4 linked regions of the Saccharomyces cerevisiae S288C genome follow. Changing the gene in region 1 together with any one later gene gives a genetic interaction. Each region holds a gene or a part of one and is shown on either strand. Other genes may lie near its edges.

Region 1 (7,284 bases):
CATTTTCCCAACCGAATGGTTAGCTAAAGAAGTTGAGAGTAGAAATTGGATTTTTAACTCGGATAGACTTTCTCCAATGGAAATCTACAATTAAGGGAATATAAAAACGACCAGGAACACACCATTACCTGTATTTTCCTTTTATCTGTTATAAGCATTCGACGCTGATACATAAACAGTTTTCATTATGCATTCTTTTGGTCCATAGTGTCATTATTGCTCTTATTACTCATTGCATTTTTATACTTCAAATATATATAATAATAATATCATTATGTAATTTATGTGCTTTATCTTAAAGAACCAAATTTTTTCTATTTCCGTGTTCAATTGCTTAATAATTGTAAAAGCTTAATTTCTTGGATAAGTCGATGCCAAATAAACTGATTAAATAGATTATCGATAATCCTAATGTTGGTAAAAGTATAAAGTTCAAATTTTTCAAGAATGGCAACTGGTTGTATCCATAAAAGGTTAAAATAAAGTAATGGCCAATAGCAAAACAATATAACGAATTACCAATGAGTAAGGAAATCCAGTTTTGTAAATTAATTATGGGCAGTAGTAAAAACTGAATGAAGTATAGGCACAGTAGGATGATTAAAAATGAATTACAATGAACGTCGAAACAATAAGCCCACTCTACCACACTATTTTGGCTCGATTTGAATTTAAAATGTGACCTATTCAACAAAAGGTAAAAAATAGTTGCCATAATAAATCCAAATATGAAAAAATCTAAAATCACCATCATTACCAAACTTTTGAAAAAATGACCTATAATGCTCAAGGCCCCCATATCACTGTCGTTGTTGAAACCTGAATTATAAATCGACCAAATAATAGAACTGAGTGAAATTAAGGCTATTTGGAAGATGAAAAAGGAAGGATCATCTCTCGCCCACTGATTTTTCGTCTGTCGCTGATAATATATTGATCTATAAGCTTTTCTTGGATGGAAAATCAAATGGAACATTTCCCAGCTGGCTGTCTCGAGATCTAAATTCTTTGGCGTTTTGAAAAGCCTCCTGATTACCATCGGCACAGATTGCTGACCGTAGCCTTGTCTTGCATCGTTTTCATTACCATTATTACGCCTCCTCTGGCCTTGCGGGCCTGCTGGCAAGTCGTTGGAATAAGTCGGCAAATATGACATTGATAAATCCGTTGACTAAGTAGTGGCAATCGAAAAATTATAGTGCAAATCTGTTTCTTTCTGGCTTTTTGCAGTTATTTCAACAAAATTTAAACCTGTTAAGTTTAATATTCTAGTAAGGTCTATTGGTAATTATTTAACCGTTGGAAGTGATCGTTGTATGAAATTATCATTCTAGATTACAGGTAGTCGATACCTTTTATTATAATACTTTTATAGCATGGTATATTATTCGTAAAAAAACATTAAAGACATGAAACTAGTCCTTTGTTTCCCTGGAAATTGTTCAACCAACTCATTCATCTTACTATGTCATGATAGATGCATATCATTATCAACGACATGCTATATACAGAAAGTAGTAATAAAGGACCTTTCTAGTAAACATGATTTAAAGCGTATATACAACAGTTTTAGATCGTACTTCACAAAATACGAGAACTGAATCATGTCAGTACCTAATTCCAAAGAGCAGTCGCTCCTAGATGATGCATCCACATTGTTATTGTTTTCAAAAGGGAAAAAAAGAGCTGAAGAAGCTTCAAAAATAGGCTCTAAAACAGATACTATTGAGCATGATGAGTCTCATGAGAGAGAAAAAAAAGGAGCAATAGAAATGGCAGCAGCAGCACTGGCTACAGCATCCACAGTTTCTTTACCTTTAAAGAAAGCTACTGAGCAATCGGCGGCAGAAGCAGCAACATCCACGGCAGCAAAAGAAGAGACCGAAAATCAACCTCAAAAGCAACCTCAATGGCCGGTACCTGATTCGTATATAGTCGATCCTGACGCGGGTATAATTACATGTATATGTGATTTAAATGATGATGATGGATTCACTATCCAATGTGACCACTGCAACAGATGGCAGCATGCTATTTGCTATGGCATCAAAGATATTGGGATGGCACCTGATGATTACCTTTGCAACTCATGTGATCCAAGAGAGGTAGACATTAACTTGGCTAGGAAAATACAGCAGGAACGCATAAACGTAAAAACAGTAGAACCTTCTTCATCAAACAATAGTGCTAGTAATAAGAATAACGGTCGGGACAGAGCATCGAGTACAACTATTAGTGACGTTGGCGATAGCTTTTCAACGGATCAGGACAATACTAACCACAGGGACAAAAGAAGGAAAAGAAACCCATCAAATAATAGTATAGACTCCAAAAACGAAAGCGCTTCTGTCAATTCTTCCGATGGATTGACTTCTATGCCCAAGAAAAAAGAGCATTTCCTGAGTGCAAAAGACGCATATGGTGCAATATACTTGCCCTTGAAAGACAATGTGTTTAAAAGTGATCTGATCGAACCGTTCTTAAATAAACATATGGATGATAATTGGGTCATACAATATCCTCATAAGACCTTTAAATCTGTGTCAATTGAAGTCAAACCGTATGCTGACATTGCATATTCCAGGACTTACCCAGGCTTCACGAAATTAGGAGTTTATCTCAAAAAGGACTGCATAAAAGGTGATTTCATTCAAGAAATTTTAGGCGAATTGGACTTCTATAAAAATTATCTCACTGACCCACGAAACCATTACAGGATATGGGGTACAGCTAAAAGAAGGGTCATTTTCCATTCCCATTGGCCGATATATATAGATGCACGCTTATCAGGCAATTCAACTAGGTATTTGAGAAGAAGTTGCCAGCCGAATGTTGAATTAGTAACTATAAAACTGCAAGATACAGACAATAGGAATGACAAAAGCAGTGGAAGAAAATCAAGTAGAATAAAATTTGTTTTAAGAGCTTTGAGAGATATTTCAGAGGATGAGGAGTTATACATCAAATGGCAGTGGGATTCAAAACATCCTATATTAAAATTAATAAAGGGCATGACAATAGACTCTTTAGATGACCTTGAAAGGTATGGGCTGATAAATTCGGTAGAAACAATTTTGAGTAACGGCGAATGCGGCTGTGGAAATAATTCTAAAGATTGTTATTTATTGAAAGTGAAGAGATACGCGCAAAGTCTTTATAAATCTGTGAAATCCAGAGGAAAAATGAACAACAGATATAAATTAAATGAAATTCTCAACCAATATAATTGCAAAAAGAGACGTGAGCCACCAATTTTGCATAGGCTAGAAGAAAAGGCTCAAAATACTATAGAAAGAGCTCCAATACTTTTGAATAATTTTTATCGACAAAAATTCCTTAATCGAAATAATGGTCCAAAAATTCCTCAAAAGAATACTATTGATAGTACAAATAATCCTGATGATATTGCAAAACCCTTCAAATTCGCCTTATTTGCACAACATTCTTCTAATATTTCTGTTCCCAAAAAAAATGAAACTTCAGAAAAACCTTTAATAATTACGAAGAGCACAGATTATGACGAATCACACATTACCAATATTGAAGAATTACCAATTCCAGTTCTTTTACCAATAAACAAGACGTCAAGGCAAACTGCAAACGATGTCGAAGAGAGTCAATCAAAGAATGAACATAAATTAAGTAGAACCCCTTCTCTTTCAAATTTCAATAAAGAACTGTCAAAGGAAGCACAACACAGTCAAGCAAAAACAAAAGAAATCATGACAGAAGCTTCGGTTAATTCAAGGCGAGAATCCACTCCAGAAAGTATAATGCACTTATCAGATTTTTCGTCCTCACAACTGCATTCGAAAAAGAAATTAAGCTTTGCGGATTACAGAAAAAAACTACTGAAATAAACATGGACATTTCCTTCTTACACCTATATAAACTTAAGTATATTCAAAAGTGAATATTCATTATTCTTTATAAGATTATATTCGGTTAATATTAAATTACAAGCCTCAATTAAAAAAGTATATATTTGATGAATTATAAATGACCTATATGCGAAAAAAGTGGAGCAATAAAAAATTGATGAATAAAGGGTGAAAATGTGACAATGTGAATGTTTTAGTTCAGAAAGCTTCTTTACTTCTTGACCTATATAATGAGTAGCCCTCCTCATTGCCCATATCATTCTCTTCATCTTCATCTTCGGAGTCTTCTTCATCGCTTGATATCTCGTTATCCATTCGATCATCAACACTGGTGCCTAGTGCCACTTCTTCGTCTTCGCCATTATTATCCAATGCGGATAAAGAATTGAAAAGAATAGTCTTCGGTCTTGGTGGTGTTTTCGGGGTAGTATACAATGGATTACCAGGTCTGGCATATGACTGGCCATCATCATTAGGATCCATATAGTCATCGTCATCGCCAACACCTTCAAAGTCAAACTGATGGTGAAAAATATTCTGGTCTTGCAGTTTAGGATCTGAAGGTTGTGACCTACTAGGAAAATGGTCTGGAGGGAACAATGAAGTACCCGATGTCCATTTGTCACTCCCGTTTTCATCATTGTCCTCATTATAGAGACTATTGCCATCCCTATGTTCAGATATTTTATCGGTAAACTCTGATTCGGCACTTTTGGATTTACCATCATCACTATCATAATCATCGTCGTTAGTCTCGACGTTATTATAGTAATTTTTATTATCCACATCACTATACTCTGCGTAATCTTCTTCATTTTCTTCATTCTCGTTATTATTGAAGTTATAATATAAATCCATGTTCCCAGAATCATGCCCGTTACTAAGAAGTTCATCGTTTTCTCCATTTCCGTAGTTTTCGTTGCCCTCTGTATCACCAATTATATCCTCAGAATCAGAATTCCTAATAACATCGTCATCGCTTTCTTGGTCATTGCCAAAATCTCCCAAAACGGTGTTATACTTCTCTCTTGTATCAGCCAAGATCGTTTCACTATATTCTTTCCAAAATGGTTCCTCAAGTCGATCTGAAACAGCGGTATTGCAAAAAGTTAGCTTCATTTCATCAATATACTCTTTGAACTTCGATATTTCTTCGGCAACTAATGTCAAATGACCCATATAACCATAACGTAAACCGGTCTTTTTTTCATAGTCTTGACATGCCTTATCCGCATCTACTATCTTTTTAGTTAGGTATGCATCAACCAAATAATCTTTCAAGAGGAACCTATTATAACCAGTTTTGAGGGGACCATTGAATATTTGCTGGGCAATATCAAAAATTACATTATGCAAAAAATTATTCCAAGGGAACTCAGTGAACATATCAAGGATACTAATCAGTATCTTAGTGTCTTCTAGAGCAATCTTCAGCCTGTCTCCAACTAGCGGTTTTTCCCTTAGGCATTCTCTCACGGATTCTGTGTCAGACAAGGTTTCATCATACAACTCTACTCCAGAAGCATCATTTTCTAGCCCCTCAACTACCTTTGCGTCTGATTTCACATCTAGTTTTACACTTGATACCCCAGTATCATTTAATTCATCTTCTTCACTTCCTTGATTATTTATTTGAAGAGCGCCTAAATTTTCTGTGATATCCTTCTCTACGCAATCCTTATCATAATATGATGATTTATTGTCCACAATAGCTGTTATATTTTCCTTTTCGGTTGAAGTTTCTAATTCTTTGGCCCTTTCTATATCACGTTCTTGGGCAATCATCTCACCATTGGGCTCATTTAGCAGCGTCATATTAGAACAGTGCAATAGTTCTGCAATAAGTTCACAGATTTTAAACCTCTCAAATCCCAGAGGTTCAATATTACCGAATGGCATTTCCATTAGTGGCAACTTGGTTTTATCCAGCATATCAGCAAAATCAGGCATATGCTTAGCAAAAAGTTTGACTAAATGTATCAAGTGAATTGGATCTCGATCAGTGGGAGGGTGACTTTCTAGGGTAGTGTAGACTAGTTGGATGAAATCATAATCTGAGTTATTCTTCCTGATCAACTCTATGATAATTCCAACACCATTACTTAAGGATGTACCGCCCTTTAGCATTATCTTAATCAACTTTTCTATCATTTCTTCTGATACTAATTGCCTTGTCAATTCATTAGGACCTATTCCCGAAGCAAGTTCATTGCTTGAGTTAGTGCTTAACGTGACGAATGCCTTAATAAAATCGCCTGCCGCAGACTGAGTGGAAATACCGTATTCTGGATTAAGATGATCTAAAAGTTTAGGTATTAATTCCTGTGATTTTAGTATCTTTATGACACCCGTGGGAGAGTCAGGTTTATCCGTCGAGATAACTTTCAAAAGGAAGTCCATCAAAGACGGATTGTCAACATGTGTCAAGAACCTTGCAACCAAGCTGTCTCGGCTTAATATAAACTCTAACATCCCCGTTATATCCATATCGAGAAGTCTTTCATTTATTTTCATGAAGTAGGTGGAAGCTGGTATCGGTAAGGGAGCTGGGTGATCTAGTATCGACCACAATCTACCAAGAAGATCCTTATTTTGCATTATTGCTGCGGATATAGGCCATACATCAGCCGATAAAATTTCAGCAGCTATCCTTGCCCTTCTAGTCTCCACTTGTTCCTCAGATTCCGGTGGCAAAGTAATGCTTGTCTCTTCAGAATCAACACTTCTTTCGTCCCCAGAGTCATGATCGCTATCATTTGTAGTTTCTTCTGAGTCGCCTCCTTCTTCAGCGTCCTCCTTTTTATCCTTTCTGTCTCTTTCTATCAAAATAGGATGATCGTTTACACCTTCAATAATCTCTGGCTTTTTAGCGCTATCTGTTTCTTCGTCGAGAATCTTCTCGTTGGTAACATATTCTATCAATTTTGATAAAACATCAGGATACTTCAAGAATATTAGTAGCTTGAAATTTGAACACATTAATTCCGTATACAGTTCGTCATCATCCAGCAAATCGTCTAAGACGTCCAAATTAGGTCTATAATTTTCATATTCCGATTCTGTAGTGGGCAGAGTATTTTCTTCTTCCTTCTCTTCGTTCTCGTTAACTACATTATCTTCAGAAGCAGCGTAGTCATGTGAAGAGTTATCTTCGTCATCAGCAATATTTTCTTCACATGTGCCGGTAGGTACGTCGTCATCTTGGTCCTTATTGATTTTAATAAAGGCACTATTTAGAATCTTAGAAACCGGTGACTCTATCGAGTAATCCTGACCAAACTTCCAGAAAGAACCTGACATGCTATTATAATCTTCTCGCAGTTAAGTAAATGAAGAAATGAAATAAAAGAAGAGGATAACAGGACTTATCAACTAAACGCTAAAGTAAATGAACAAACAAAAC
Region 2 (3,460 bases), on another chromosome or scaffold:
CAAGGACGCCAAAGACGGATATTCTTGGAAGTCTCCTTGCTAAGAAAAGAAAATAGTTGTACTTGATCCCTATATTATATTATATCCTATTTATAACCAAGGGCTTGCCTTCGCGAACAACAAGGTATGCCATTTTGAGAGGAGCAAATTTGCATTCTAAATTCATGATAATGATATGTTCTTTAATTATTACTATATATAAACTCACTTAGTTTTCCAGCCTTTGCTCTTTTGTTCGTATAGCAAGGAATGAAAAAAAAAAATCCTGAATAAACGTCATAGTAATTTTCTTCCTTAGTTAGATACAAAGGATTTTGAAATACAGTATATGCACAATCGCAACTCATTAAGAGCATAGGAAAGTATTCAATTTAAAGAAAAACATGATGGAAACGATGATATAGAAAAAAGAACGGAAGCAAGCGTTAACTGTGATAGGAATATGCATAGCTTTTTCTTCTTTTTTGTTTTATTATTATTGTTGAATGCTATTTGCTGAATCAATTTACTTGACGAATGGTGTAGAATAATAAATATGCCTGTTCCTTTAAAACCTCTTCTTGAGATATAGAGGAGACCATGGAATCATTGAATTTAAACCATTGCCCTCCAGAAATTTTACAAAATGCAATATAATGTCCCTCATTAACCGTCCCCTTGTGGGAAACAATACCGATTAATTCGTAAATAATGTCTGGAACCTTGCCATTTTCAGAATGCTTATCTTTTTCCTTCGTTGAACAGTAATTTTTCATATTTAAATAAGTTGGAAATTCAATAAAATCGTCTAGTTTTCTGTTACTTCCATTAAGTAGGTGTTCGAATCTTTTCAATTGCAAAACCAAAACCGATGGTAATTTGTGTATGCCTAGTTGCTTTATTGCATCTTGAGTGCTGTTACACTCCCCACAATGATAGTTGAAATCCTTCAACTGTTCTTTTTTATGGAAACTGTCAAGACATTCATAAAGTTTTTTCTTATCCTTGATATCCAGAGAAAGATCCAAGAATGGATCAATGGTTGTCTTTGAATTATTTTGACAGCCTGGACACACAATAGAACTTTCCAAGGAGCCCTCAAACACAGTATGCACTATGCATTCACACTGCTTATTATTTGCTCTGCTGACTTCCTTGGCATTTGGCAAATCAAGAACATAGCTTTGGTGGATTTGGTTAATTATAAACTGCCAAAATTCATGAGCATCTTGTTGTGAATACCCTGCTAGATTTTGATTGATTTTCCAGGCACAAGTTAAAAGATATATGAATCCGGTTTGCCGATTAGTAGATGTAGATGACGAAGAAGCTTGCTTTGTATTCAGCGCTCCATAAAGTTCATGAACAATTTTATCGAGTGCACATGAAAAACATTTATCTGGAGAACGCACTTTACAATTATTAGAATGAATTTGACTCATTGAGTGCCTAATAAAGTAAGGGTTATGGATTAGACATTGGAGAATACTACTCATGAAACAAGTGGATCCCATGTTGATCAGGCCAGAAAGCCCATCTCTTCTTTCCATGCTAGGAACCATGGTCTTTGTGCACACGTCGTCCCAATACTTCGCTAGGATAGCATCGTTAATCAGATCGATATTCCCTATATAGTCCTCACATTTGAAGCAAAATAAAAGGCCATTATTTGAGTTGATACCAAATATGTGACCAATCTGTTTACTGTGAGAGAGAAAATGCGAATGGTTCCAACATCCACAAAATCCACATTGTAGACACATGAAAGTTGCACCAGAGTTTATTTCGTGGCATGTACCACATTTCATGGTGTTTAAGAATTTTTCCTTGGGTACGGAATGATTTAATATATACCTGGCAGCATTGCACGTTTTTAGAACCCCATCTTTAGACTTTTCATTCTGAAATACTTGCTGTATATGTGGACAAATGCTCATAATTATTAATAACAAATAAAAAAAGCAGGGTTTCAAGTAGGACGACGAGGACCGAAGCTGTAGTTTTCCCTTTTGATCCGATCAATAAATAGTATTCAAAATTATGACAGCCAGTTGAAAGAAATGGACTAACTGGTCTCAAAAGAAAACCTTTATTATTATCCGTAAAATATCTTTTTAGAATTAATCAGGTCCACTAATATAATCCCTTTGCTATTACGACAGCTTTCTAGCCCATATACAATATAAATTATTGATGCTTTTTACACACTATAATCGAGGATTTTTTTTCACTTGAAAAATTCAAAGAAAAGCAAAAAAAGGAAGAATAGAGAAGAAAAAAAAGGTATAAGTGAAGAAAGAATGTGCAATACTACAAGACTATAAGATTTAATAGCTGTAACCATGACGAAGAATGTATTGATGTTACATGGGCTTGCGCAGTCAGGTGACTACTTTGCCTCTAAGACAAAGGGGTTTCGCGCCGAAATGGAAAAGTTAGGATATAAACTCTACTATCCAACAGCACCCAATGAATTTCCCCCAGCTGATGTTCCTGATTTCTTGGGTGAGGTAATTGCTGATGCACCTGGGGATGGTGAGAATACCGGTGTGCTTGCGTGGCTAGAGAATGACCCTTCCACCGGTGGCTATTTCATACCGCAGACGACAATCGACTATTTACACAATTATGTCCTTGAAAATGGTCCATTTGCAGGTATTGTAGGATTTAGTCAAGGAGCCGGTGTAGCTGGATACCTAGCAACGGATTTCAATGGTTTGTTGGGCCTTACAACAGAAGAACAGCCGCCGCTAGAATTTTTCATGGCGGTCAGTGGTTTCAGGTTCCAACCACAACAGTATCAAGAACAGTACGACCTGCATCCAATATCGGTCCCATCTCTACATGTTCAAGGAGAACTTGACACTATCACAGAGCCGGCCAAAGTGCAAGGCCTATATAACTCTTGTACGGAAGACTCTCGCACTTTACTAATGCACTCTGGGGGCCACTTTGTGCCGAACTCAAGAGGGTTTGTGAGAAAAGTGGCTCAATGGCTCCAGCAGTTGACCTGAGGCAAGTATATATAGCACGTAATCTTCACATAATCTTCACATACATATTTATACATGATTAAATCCTCCGGGTAATAATACGTCAAATTAACTTAACTACCGATACGATGCTTCATTATGATAACGATAACAATGGCATCTATAAATGATTTTATTCCTCGTTAGGCCAGTATTAGGGCAGTAAAGACTGTAATGACCAGTACAAGAACGTTGAGATACGCACAGGTTGCCTGTGCTTGTATCTGGTGTCTTTTTTCAGCTGGTATTATCTTTGGATTTGCTGCTTTGAAACCTATTTTAATTTCAGAAGGTGTATACCATGAATTGTGTGATCCTAAGGATGGTGATAGATTATTATGTACTGCACAGGATCTGAAATTAAATTTTATATTTGCTCTCAGTGCTACTGTAACAAACATCATGGCCCTTCCTGTCGGTAAGATTTTGGATATGTATGGACCTCGTGT
Region 3 (5,998 bases), on another chromosome or scaffold:
ATTACACGCATAGAATACCGGCAATAATTCACGGTTTTGCTCGTCGGTTCTGGCAAAGTTCCACTGATCATAGGGGTACACCTGCAAACCCAGGAAGAGTGGCCACACTAATCCCGTATGAGGATATTATAAGGCAAACTGCCTTCTTGAAGAATGTGAATTTGTATAGTGAAAGTGCACCTATCCAGGATCCCGACGACTTAGTCACCATAGGGGTAGTGTATTATATACCACCAGAACATGCTCAAGAGGTTAGAGAGTATTTGAACGTAAGAGAACAAAACGGGTACACTCTACATGAGGTTGAGGTGCATCTAGAAACTAATCGGGAGCACGAGGCAGAATTGGGTGAAGCATTAGAACAGTTGCCTCGGCACAACAAATCGGGTAAACGGGTACTACTTACTTCGGTGTACATTGGTACAATAGATAATGAGGCCTTCGTCGGACCAGAGACCGTGGATGAAACTGCGAAAGTAATTGCCGTGTCGCATGGACCTAGTGGATCTAACTATGAATACCTTGCAAAACTGGAGCAAGCGCTAGCGCAAATGCCCATCATGAAAGAGCGAGGGCGTATTACCGATCATTATCTGACTGCTCTATTGGAGACTGTAAATAAATACAGGTGAATGAAATATGTATACATATCTTGATTAACTATGTAAGGTTCTCCTCTTGCTTTTCTACCATCTATATAGTGCGGCGGAAAATGGAAAAATGCGGTTAAGTACCTTTAATGCATGCACAATATATGCAAATTTTATGCAGTTCAAACAGGACGACAAGCAGAGACATAACGACACTATTTTTCCGCTAAAATGAATGAAGACCTGCCCAAGGAATATTTTGAACTAATAAGGAAGGCTCTTAACGAGAAAGAGGCAGAAAAAGCGCCCCTGAGTAGAAGAAGAAGAGTCAGAAGGAAGAACCAGCCCCTACCAGATGCCAAGAAGAAGTTTAAAACAGGGTTGAATGAATTGCCACGAGAAAGCGTTGTTACTGTAAACTTAGATTCTTCAGATGATGGCGTCGTTACGGTACCGACGGATGATAGTGTAGAGGAAATCCAGTCATCTGAAGAAGATTATGATTCGGAGGAATTTGAAGACGTGACAGATGGAAATGAGGTGGCCGGTGTAGAAGATATATCTGTTGAAATTAAGCCCTCTAGTAAAAGGAATAGTGATGCTAGAAGGACAAGCCGCAACGTTTGTTCTAATGAAGAACGGAAAAGGAGAAAATATTTCCACATGTTGTATCTAGTTTGCTTGATGGTTCATGGATTTATACGAAATGAATGGATTAACAGCAAGCGCTTGTCTAGAAAACTGAGCAACTTAGTTCCTGAGAAAGTGTTTGAGCTACTGCATCCTCAGAAAGATGAGGAACTCCCACTTAGGAGTACTAGGAAATTATTAGATGGGTTGAAGAAATGCATGGAGTTATGGCAAAAACACTGGAAGATCACTAAAAAATATGATAATGTGGGACTTTATATGAGAACCTGGAAAGAAATTGAAATGAGCGCCAATAACAAAAGAAAATTCAAGACGTTGAAAAGATCTGACTTTTTAAGGGCCGTCAGTAAAGGTCACGGAGATCCTGATATTTCAGTGCAAGGTTTCGTTGCGATGCTCAGGGCTTGTAATGTTAACGCACGACTTATCATGTCATGTCAACCGCCAGATTTTACCAATATGAAGATTGACACTTCTTTGAATGGAAACAATGCGTACAAAGATATGGTCAAGTATCCGATTTTTTGGTGTGAAGTGTGGGACAAATTCTCTAAGAAATGGATAACTGTTGACCCAGTAAATCTCAAAACCATTGAACAGGTCAGACTTCATTCCAAGTTGGCACCGAAAGGCGTGGCGTGCTGCGAAAGAAATATGTTGAGGTACGTGATTGCTTACGATCGGAAGTATGGCTGTAGAGATGTAACTCGAAGATATGCCCAATGGATGAACTCTAAAGTAAGAAAAAGAAGAATTACTAAAGATGACTTTGGTGAGAAATGGTTCAGAAAAGTGATAACAGCACTTCACCATAGAAAGAGAACCAAAATTGATGATTACGAAGATCAATATTTTTTTCAGAGAGATGAAAGTGAAGGCATACCAGATTCGGTGCAGGATTTGAAAAACCACCCATATTATGTTTTAGAACAAGATATCAAACAGACTCAAATTGTAAAGCCAGGATGTAAAGAGTGTGGATATTTAAAAGTACATGGAAAAGTTGGGAAGGTTTTGAAAGTTTATGCAAAAAGAGATATTGCGGATTTGAAAAGTGCTAGACAATGGTACATGAACGGCCGAATTTTAAAAACTGGTAGCAGGTGTAAAAAGGTGATAAAGAGGACAGTTGGAAGGCCTAAGGGCGAAGCAGAAGAAGAAGATGAAAGATTATATAGCTTTGAAGACACAGAATTATACATCCCTCCATTAGCCAGTGCGAGCGGTGAAATAACCAAGAATACATTTGGAAACATCGAAGTTTTTGCACCAACGATGATACCTGGTAACTGTTGTTTGGTTGAGAATCCTGTGGCAATTAAAGCTGCTAGGTTTTTGGGGGTGGAATTTGCACCTGCTGTAACTTCTTTTAAGTTTGAACGCGGCAGTACAGTTAAGCCAGTTTTAAGTGGCATTGTTGTTGCAAAGTGGCTCAGAGAAGCTATTGAAACCGCTATTGATGGAATAGAGTTTATTCAAGAGGATGATAATAGGAAGGAACATTTGCTTGGTGCTTTGGAGAGTTGGAATACTTTACTGCTAAAACTGCGTATTCGTAGCAAGCTGAACTCCACATATGGTAAAATTGCCGAGGAAGAACCTAACGTTACGAAGGAACAGAATATTGCGGACAATCACGATAATACGGAGACTTTTATGGGAGGTGGGTTCCTACCAGGTATAGCAAACCACGAAGCAAGGCCGTATAGTGAACCTTCAGAGCCAGAAGATAGTTTAGATTATGTTTCTGTTGACAAAGCGGAGGAAAGTGCTACAGACGACGATGTCGGGGAGGATTATTCGGATTTTATGAAAGAACTAGAGATGTCAGAGGAATCAGACTGAAATGAGGCTGAAACGGTTTGAATAATTAGGAAAGTATGTTTTTAATAAAGAAATTCTATGTTCAGGAATTTTGTATATACTTTGTAATGAATGAGAACTTAGTTGGCTTCAAACTTTTTCGTTTAACATGATTATTTTTCTTGTTCGACTAAGATATTCCCACATGGACAAGTGCCACAGATTAATATATGAATACAATAAAATAACTAGTGTAATTTGAAAATAAAAGTTGATGAGAGGGACAGGGACTTGAGTCCTATTCAAAGTGAAATATTTTAGTTATGAGTTTTCTTTCCAAACTTTCCCAAATACGAAAATCAACGACTGCATCAAAAGCCCAAGTGCAAGATCCATTACCCAAGAAGAATGACGAAGAGTATTCCTTGTTACCCAAAAATTACATAAGAGACGAAGATCCTGCAGTAAAAAGATTGAAGGAGCTGAGGCGGCAGGAACTGTTAAAGAATGGTGCTTTGGCTAAAAAAAGTGGTGTAAAACGGAAACGTGGCACCTCATCTGGATCTGAGAAAAAGAAAATAGAAAGGAATGACGATGATGAAGGTGGCCTTGGAATTAGGTTTAAGAGGTCTATTGGAGCAAGTCATGCGCCACTCAAGCCAGTTGTAAGGAAGAAACCTGAACCTATCAAAAAGATGTCATTTGAAGAGCTAATGAAACAAGCGGAAAATAATGAGAAACAGCCCCCAAAAGTTAAGTCATCGGAACCCGTAACTAAGGAACGCCCACATTTTAACAAGCCAGGTTTCAAAAGTTCAAAAAGACCACAAAAGAAAGCATCCCCTGGCGCAACATTGCGTGGAGTATCTTCTGGAGGCAATAGCATAAAATCATCAGACTCACCCAAGCCCGTCAAGCTCAACTTGCCCACAAATGGATTTGCTCAACCTAATAGGAGATTAAAAGAAAAGTTAGAATCTAGAAAACAGAAATCAAGATACCAGGATGACTATGATGAAGAAGATAACGATATGGATGATTTTATAGAAGACGATGAAGATGAAGGTTACCACAGCAAATCGAAACACAGCAATGGTCCCGGATATGATCGTGACGAAATTTGGGCTATGTTCAATAGAGGCAAGAAGCGGTCAGAATACGATTACGATGAGCTTGAGGATGATGATATGGAAGCAAATGAGATGGAAATCTTGGAAGAGGAGGAAATGGCAAGAAAAATGGCAAGGTTAGAGGATAAACGTGAGGAAGCTTGGTTAAAAAAGCATGAAGAGGAGAAGAGACGCCGTAAGAAGGGCATACGCTAAGGAATATTGATATATGTTTTGATATATGGACGTGAAATGACTAATGAAGTCGTAGAGAGTTTGGGAACTGTTTCGAGGCACTGTTTCACTTCTTACATTCATTTTCATACCCTTTGTAATTGCGTTTTCCATTTATCCAGTTTGCCTGTCCGATTTTCAAACGTACAGTGATGATATGCATCAGTTGGGTTAGAACATTTATATTGTGTATCGCCCATAATTCTATAAACTTTACTATGTAAAAATAAAAATGAACCTTCACTATTCTTTCAAGACGGACTGAAAATTTAAAGACTTGGTTGTTGCAGTTGATCGATTATACAAGACTAACAATTCCAGTATCATTTTTGCCTTAATTTGAGACCTTTTTCAACAAGATTCGCGGCAACGTAGTTGTATTTTTTTTTTTCCACAACCCGTTTCCTTACAAAAGCATTCGGAAACTAAACATAAATATGGACCAGCTTTACAAGAGCTATGGTATGTTCATATTATTAGGATATATTAGGTGAGATATTAAAAAATGAAACAAATTGTGTCACCAGTTAGATAGGATTCAAGTAGTCATTAAAATAGAAACAAGCGTTTAGGGTATGCGTTAAAAGAAACTCTAGCAACCTCCAATTGCCAGTGAAAAACTTCCCGAGAAATACTACAACGACAGTGATACATCATACACTTAATAACACTGTAAGGTCCTCAGTTTTTCCAGGTGGAAGGATCAAATACATACCCTTAATCAATATAAGTAAGTCGAAGGAAGAGATTCGAGCAATGCATTAAAATATGATATTTCAACACATTGACTAAAACGGTTGTATATTCTTAGCCCACTGTGTTGTATCTCAAAATGAGATACGTCAGTATGACAATACGTCATCCTAAACGTTCATAAAACACATATGAAACAACCTTATAACAAAACTGTTGGAATAAAAATCCACTATCGTCTATCAACTAATAGTTATATTATCAATATATTATCATATACGGTGTTAAGATGATGACATAAGTTATGAGAAGCTGTCATCGATGTTAGAGGAAGCTGAAACGCAAGGATTGATAATGTAATAGGATCAATGAATATAAACATATAAAACGGAATGAGGAATAATCGTAATATTAGTATGTAGAAATATAGATCCCATTTTGAGGATTCCTATATCCTCGAGGAGAACTTCTAGTATATTCTGTATACCTAATATTATAGCCTTTATCAACAATGGAATCCCAACAATTATCTAATTACCCACATATATCTCATGGTAGCGCCTGTGCTTCGGTTACTTCTAAGGAAGTCCACACAAATCAAGATCCGTTAGACGTTTCAGCTTCCAAAATTCAAGAATATGATAAGGCTTCCACTAAGGCTAACTCTCAACAGACAACAACACCTGCTTCATCAGCTGTTCCAGAGAACCCCCATCATGCCTCTCCTCAACCTGCTTCAGTACCACCTCCACAGAATGGGCCGTACCCACAGCAGTGCATGATGACCCAAAACCAAGCCAATCCATCTGGTTGGTCATTTTACGGACACCCATCTATGATTCCGTATACACCTTATCAAATGTCGCCTATGTACTTTCCACCTGGGCCACAATCACAGTTTCCGCAGTATCCATCATC
Region 4 (5,612 bases), on another chromosome or scaffold:
GCTTCTTCTCTTCATCGTAAAATCTTTGATAAATGTTTGCAGCTAAGATAGCTTTGTTGTGTTTGGTCATGTCTTGAATTAAAGATGGTGGTGTCTCTATAATATCGGCATCTAGCCACAGCACCCAAGAAGTGTGAGGTCCTATGGTGGAGAATAGTAATTCATTGCGCGCCAAAGCCATTGCTGCACGTCTTTCCTTTTGAACATCTAAAGCGTGTCTTTCCTTCTCCATCAACTTATCAAAACTCTGGGAATTCTGTCGCAAAATAGTAATTTTACTAAATCTTTGAGTTTTCTTGTCCGTTTGAACCTTTTTAATAGCATTCTCCAATTTCTTTAAGGCCAAGTCACCAGTGGCTGTTCTTGGTGTAATGAACCCCAATTCAATCAATTCCCGAGGGTAATTTAGCTGCAGCAAATTGTCCCAGTATTGTTGATGAAATGTTTGCATTGGAGTCAATATCAAAATATGCTCCTTATTGACAGCTGCTTCTGACGTAGAGTGCAATTTGTTCAAATCATAATGTGCAATATGACCTTCTGGGATAATATCTTCCACGTGATCGTTGAACAACCAGCCGCTTTTTTTCTTATAAGAGTACTTTGGCATTTTGTATTTCTTGGTGAAGGGAAAATAAAATGTGTTTTCCTTTTCGTGTGCCCATTTGTGTTGGGAAATGGACTGGCCATTAAGTCCCAACAGAGATTGATCTCTCTGGAAAAAAATTATATATATTAGAAATATGGCCAAAACAGGTAGAAAAATGTTAACCCACGGGTTCTTTCTTAGGCGGTACGATACAAGAGAAAGTGACATTGTTTCCTAACTTTTTATTCTAGCTCTTTTAAATTCTTCTGTTTGAAAAATACTAAAATTGATGCTATTCTCTTCTTACTTTCACAAAGTGCGGAAGGAAAAATAGGTTCAGAAATAACGGGTCCCAAGAGCGGCTAACAGAAAATAATAAAAGCTTTTCTACCAATTGAGAATCCGCTTGGTTGACGACTTTTCCTCCTTTATTATTCTTGATTTGGTGTTCTGTTTTACTTATATCAAAATACTTCAACGCCAAATCCGCTACAACGATGGAAAGGAAAAAAAAAAAAAAAAAAAAAAGACAAACCAATGCTGTCGTGTCTAGTGACGATAAAGGCTGTAACTATTAATAAGGTGAATACTCACCCTCATCTTTTAGTTTATCAAACTTATATAAAAATTGTGTATGTACTGAATTGTCCTTGGTGTGCGAGTGAGAGTGTGTGTGTGAGTGCGTGTGTGAGTAGGTGAGTGTATGCGAGTGTATGTAAGTTTATAAGTGCCTGTGTGGCTACTATTTTCCGGTTCTGTGATGTGATGATGATTTTTTTGTCAGCTCCTTTGATTCATTCCATACTTTATTACATATGCTCATAAACATTTTCTTGTCTACATTGCTAGAGCTCAGGGGGAACTCGAAGGCAAAAATATGCGATGAGAGTCGGATTTCGCCTTGAAGAAGACTAGGTGATTGCTGCTGCGGCTGCGAGGTCCGCTGGAACGTAGTAAAAGTGGGAGTGGGGACCGCTCCGTCCTCGATGGCCAAGTCCGTACCCTCTTCTTCGTCTTTATTGGGTTCTGCCTCATGCCATGAACTCCTGTCCCGGTTTGTGCTTGTGCTTGTACTTGTGCTTGTGCTTGCGCTTCTGGCTTTCGTGTTGGCCGAGAGTAATGCATCCCGTTCAAAGTGGTATTCTTCAGCAGGTATCATATCTGCTGGGCGTAGATCCGCGCGCTGTTGCGTAGGACCGGCATTCGCACTTGATCCTACGCTAGAATTTCTTGAGCCTTCCTCGGATCGTCTGGTTTTCCCAGTGGAAGCGGTGCCACTCAAAGGCGAATCATATGAGTCGTTAACCCTCTTGTTTCTGTAATTGCTAGCACTATACTCATTTTCTTCGTAGGGCCTAGCGTTGCCACCTTGCATAGCATAAGGAATGGAGGTCCGCGGTCCCATTGGATATGGATACGACACGTAGGGTGTCATTATGGGCTTGTTCAGCATGTGAGGTGGAGGGATACCGTACGGATTATAATATGGTGACATTATGTAGCGATTCATGGGCATGTAAGGGTTCATGGCGCTCATGATGCCCGCCGAGGGCATGTGTGGTTTCCCATAACTATTGCTGCTATTATTCACTTGTATAGATTGTCTAGAACTGGCCTTTCCCAAGTATTGGACACGGGGCTGGAACTTGGAATGCTGAGTAACTTGTGCGGGCGCGCTTTTCACGTTTTGATTAGCAACAGGAGGAAAATGTGCAGAGTTAGACGAAGCCAAGTTGCCGTCCTTAATATTACCACCGTGTGTATTAGTGTTGCTATCCGATAAATTCAAAGGCGCCGGGACTCTGCCCCTCTTCAATGATTTCTTCGGATTCTTCAATGGTTGGGCTTTCCTCTTCTTCGCAGTGGCTGTCTCAGAATCCTCATGATCTGCTTCCTTGTCACCAGAGTCATCCTCCTCAGGGACATGCTCTAGCTCCGACTCCTGACCAACGCTGTTTCCGCCTGGCGAATTCTTAATGTTGCTATCGCTGCTGCCCTTAGCATTTGCTACACTGATTTCTGTATCACCAATTGGATCTTGTGTTGATTTAGCAATGGATGTATCCTCGGCAGTCGTTCTCAAACGGGCTGATACGGCCATTCTCACTTTCTATTTTCTTCTTTGAGAAACAATACCAAAATTTGTTACTGATTTGATTCTTTTTAAGTGCGTTTCTTCTGTATAAGCTAAAAAAACGCAAAGCACAAAGCGGAAAAACTAAACCTAATAAACTTCCCCCAGCGAGAAACAGATGTAAAGAACAACCGTATCAAGTGGCGAAGCAGCTGCTTATAAGTAAAGCCCAAGGCCCACCAACGCATACATGCAAGGCCTGTGCAAGCCGACTGCTGCTTGTTTCATCTTCCGCTCGCGGTGACCCACTCGGGGAATTTCTCACGCTTGCTGCTGCAGGTCGTTGGGCGTTGATTCCTGTTTTTTTCTTTCGTTTTTTCAATCCGCGGGAGTGAGACATGATTAGTGTAGTCCTTGTAGAGTTCCTTATTTATTTTTTTATTAGTTTTCTTGTTTTCGTTTATCAGCAGGGTTTGGTTGTGTTGCTTGGCAGCCCGCAAATTGGTCTTCCCTCCTTGTTATTGTATTTTCTGTTATTAGAGCATACAGAACATAGAAACTCAAGATCAGATACAGTTTTTGCACGCCATGTCTCAAGGTACTTTATATGCTAACTTCAGAATTAGAACTTGGGTCCCAAGAGGTCTTGTCAAGGCTTTGAAGCTGGACGTTAAGGTTGTTACGCCAGATGCCGCCGCTGAACAGTTCGCAAGGGACTTTCCCTTGAAGAAGGTTCCGGCTTTCGTGGGTCCAAAGGGTTACAAGCTAACCGAGGCAATGGCGATTAACTATTATTTAGTAAAGCTTTCACAGGACGACAAGATGAAGACTCAACTTTTAGGTGCCGACGATGACTTAAATGCCCAAGCGCAAATCATCAGATGGCAATCTTTGGCCAACAGTGATCTGTGCATCCAGATTGCCAACACCATCGTTCCCTTGAAGGGCGGCGCCCCCTACAACAAGAAGAGCGTTGATTCTGCGATGGACGCTGTTGACAAGATCGTCGACATCTTCGAGAACAGATTGAAAAACTACACCTATTTGGCTACGGAAAACATCTCCTTGGCCGACTTGGTGGCTGCCTCGATTTTCACCAGATACTTTGAAAGCCTGTTCGGTACTGAATGGAGAGCTCAACATCCAGCCATCGTGAGATGGTTCAACACCGTTAGAGCCTCACCCTTCTTGAAGGATGAATACAAGGATTTCAAGTTCGCTGACAAGCCATTGAGTCCCCCTCAAAAGAAGAAGGAAAAGAAGGCCCCAGCCGCCGCTCCCGCCGCTTCGAAGAAGAAGGAGGAAGCCAAGCCAGCTGCTACCGAAACTGAAACTTCTTCCAAGAAACCAAAGCACCCATTAGAATTATTGGGCAAGTCAACTTTCGTTTTGGATGACTGGAAGAGAAAGTACTCCAATGAAGACACCAGACCAGTTGCTTTACCTTGGTTTTGGGAGCACTACAACCCAGAAGAGTATTCCCTGTGGAAAGTCACCTACAAGTACAACGATGAATTGACTTTGACTTTCATGTCCAACAACTTGGTCGGTGGTTTCTTCAACAGATTGTCCGCCTCTACCAAGTACATGTTCGGTTGTCTGGTAGTCTACGGTGAAAACAACAACAACGGTATTGTTGGTGCAGTTATGGTTAGGGGCCAAGATTACGTTCCAGCTTTCGATGTCGCACCAGATTGGGAATCTTACGACTATGCAAAGTTGGATCCAACTAACGACGACGACAAAGAATTCATCAATAACATGTGGGCCTGGGATAAGCCAGTTTCCGTCAATGGCGAACCAAAGGAAATTGTTGACGGTAAGGTCTTAAAATAATCTCTTCGTACTATCCTTCATGTCGCCTTTTATTATAAAGTATGCTAGGTAGTTTTATCTATATCTTATTTATGACGCAATATAGGGTAACAGAGTTTTTCTGCTCTGAAACTTCCGCAGAAAAAAAATCAAGTTTTCCTTTTCGTATCTTGGATTATTGTTATATAATAGATGCATGTATTATATGTATAGCAGTGATTTGCTTATTTTCTTGATTCTGAGGAATCGAAGAAGTAACTTAGCGTTTCTTCCGTTGAGCAGAGCAGTATAATAATCCTTCAAATTCTTTAGGTTACGGGGTTTTCCTGTTGCGATGACCGAAGAAACTATTACTATAGATTCTATTTCAAATGGGATACTGAATAACCTGTTAACCACATTGATCCAGGACATTGTAGCTCGGGAAACCACTCAACAACAATTGCTGAAGACAAGATATCCGGATCTTCGCAGTTATTATTTCGACCCGAACGGATCTCTCGATATTAATGGACTACAGAAGCAACAAGAGTCCTCTCAGTATATTCACTGTGAGAATTGTGGCAGGGATGTGTCCGCAAACAGACTAGCAGCTCATTTACAGAGATGTTTGAGTAGGGGTGCTAGACGTTGACACTAGGTGGTGGTTTATGGGTAATTGAAAAGGCACAGACAGATTTTAGCCCATTTCTTGTGGGCATAGGTTCATAAAAAAAGCAAGATTCTTACATTTTATGCGGCATATCTGCACATAGAAGTTCATGTAGTTATGTGGTAACATCTCAAAGAGAGAAGGCGAAAACTGTTTTAGCTATTAACTACATGTTTTTATAATAGCACCTCCCATATATGATGCCAAATGATACCTTGCATTCCGTTATGTGGAAGGGTTACACATAAGTACGCTATAACAATGCATTCAATTTTCTACATATCAGAGTAATATGCTGCAACATCACACCCATATAATATAATTTTTTGAAAGAGTTCCTAACTCTTTTTTGTTTTTCCTGTACCTATATACTCAAATAGTCCGCCGCAAGTAGCAGCTCTAACGACATTTCTGTCGGTATTTCAAACTCTGGAATCTCATCATCGTCCTCGCTAACGCCGCTGTACTTCAAATTATAATTT

What was found.
Region 2: mutations in SET3 (region 1) and UBP8 together harm fitness less than expected from each alone (positive genetic interaction), as found in Saccharomyces cerevisiae (5 studies listed by BioGRID, with this or other methods).
Region 3: mutations in SET3 (region 1) and SPT2 together harm fitness more than expected from each alone (negative genetic interaction), as found in Saccharomyces cerevisiae (4 studies listed by BioGRID, with this or other methods).
Region 4: mutations in SET3 (region 1) and SGF11 together harm fitness less than expected from each alone (positive genetic interaction), as found in Saccharomyces cerevisiae (6 studies listed by BioGRID, with this or other methods).

Annotation. Positions count from the first base shown.
Region 1 is NC_001143.9:494,154-501,437, reverse strand, and holds SET3 (histone-binding protein SET3), read left to right. Parts: upstream 1-1,604; coding exon 1,605-3,860; downstream 3,861-7,284. Other genes in the region: SPO14 (phospholipase D), read left to right, coding at 1-94; GMH1 (Gmh1p), read right to left, coding at 335-1,156; SAP190 (Sap190p), read right to left, coding at 4,080-7,181.
Region 2 is NC_001145.3:715,171-718,630, reverse strand, and holds UBP8 (ubiquitin-specific protease UBP8), read right to left. Parts: upstream 1,917-3,460; coding exon 501-1,916; downstream 1-500. Other genes in the region: MRE11 (MRX complex nuclease subunit), read left to right, coding at 1-56; FSH2 (putative serine hydrolase), read left to right, coding at 2,322-2,993; FMP42 (Fmp42p), read left to right, coding at 3,186-3,460. UniProt on the Saccharomyces cerevisiae protein: Histone deubiquitinating enzyme component of the transcription coactivator SAGA complex. SAGA acts as a general cofactor required for essentially all RNA polymerase II transcription.
Region 3 is NC_001137.3:497,718-503,715, reverse strand, and holds SPT2 (Spt2p), read left to right. Parts: upstream 1-3,367; coding exon 3,368-4,369; downstream 4,370-5,998. Other genes in the region: GCG1 (gamma-glutamylcyclotransferase), read left to right, coding at 1-632; RAD4 (Rad4p), read left to right, coding at 822-3,086; YER159C-A (gag protein), read left to right, coding at 5,592-5,998. UniProt on the Saccharomyces cerevisiae protein: Histone chaperone that stabilizes pre-existing histone tetramers and regulates replication-independent histone exchange on chromatin.
Region 4 is NC_001148.4:461,150-466,761, forward strand, and holds SGF11 (SAGA histone acetyltransferase complex subunit SGF11), read left to right. Parts: upstream 1-4,812; coding exon 4,813-5,112; downstream 5,113-5,612. Other genes in the region: mannosyltransferase complex subunit MNN9, read right to left, coding at 1-817; DIG1 (Dig1p), read right to left, coding at 1,332-2,690; CAM1 (translation elongation factor EF1B gamma), read left to right, coding at 3,252-4,499; ELC1 (elongin C), read right to left, coding at 5,495-5,612. UniProt on the Saccharomyces cerevisiae protein: Component of the transcription coactivator SAGA complex. SAGA acts as a general cofactor required for essentially all RNA polymerase II transcription. At the promoters, SAGA is required for transcription pre-initiation complex (PIC) recruitment.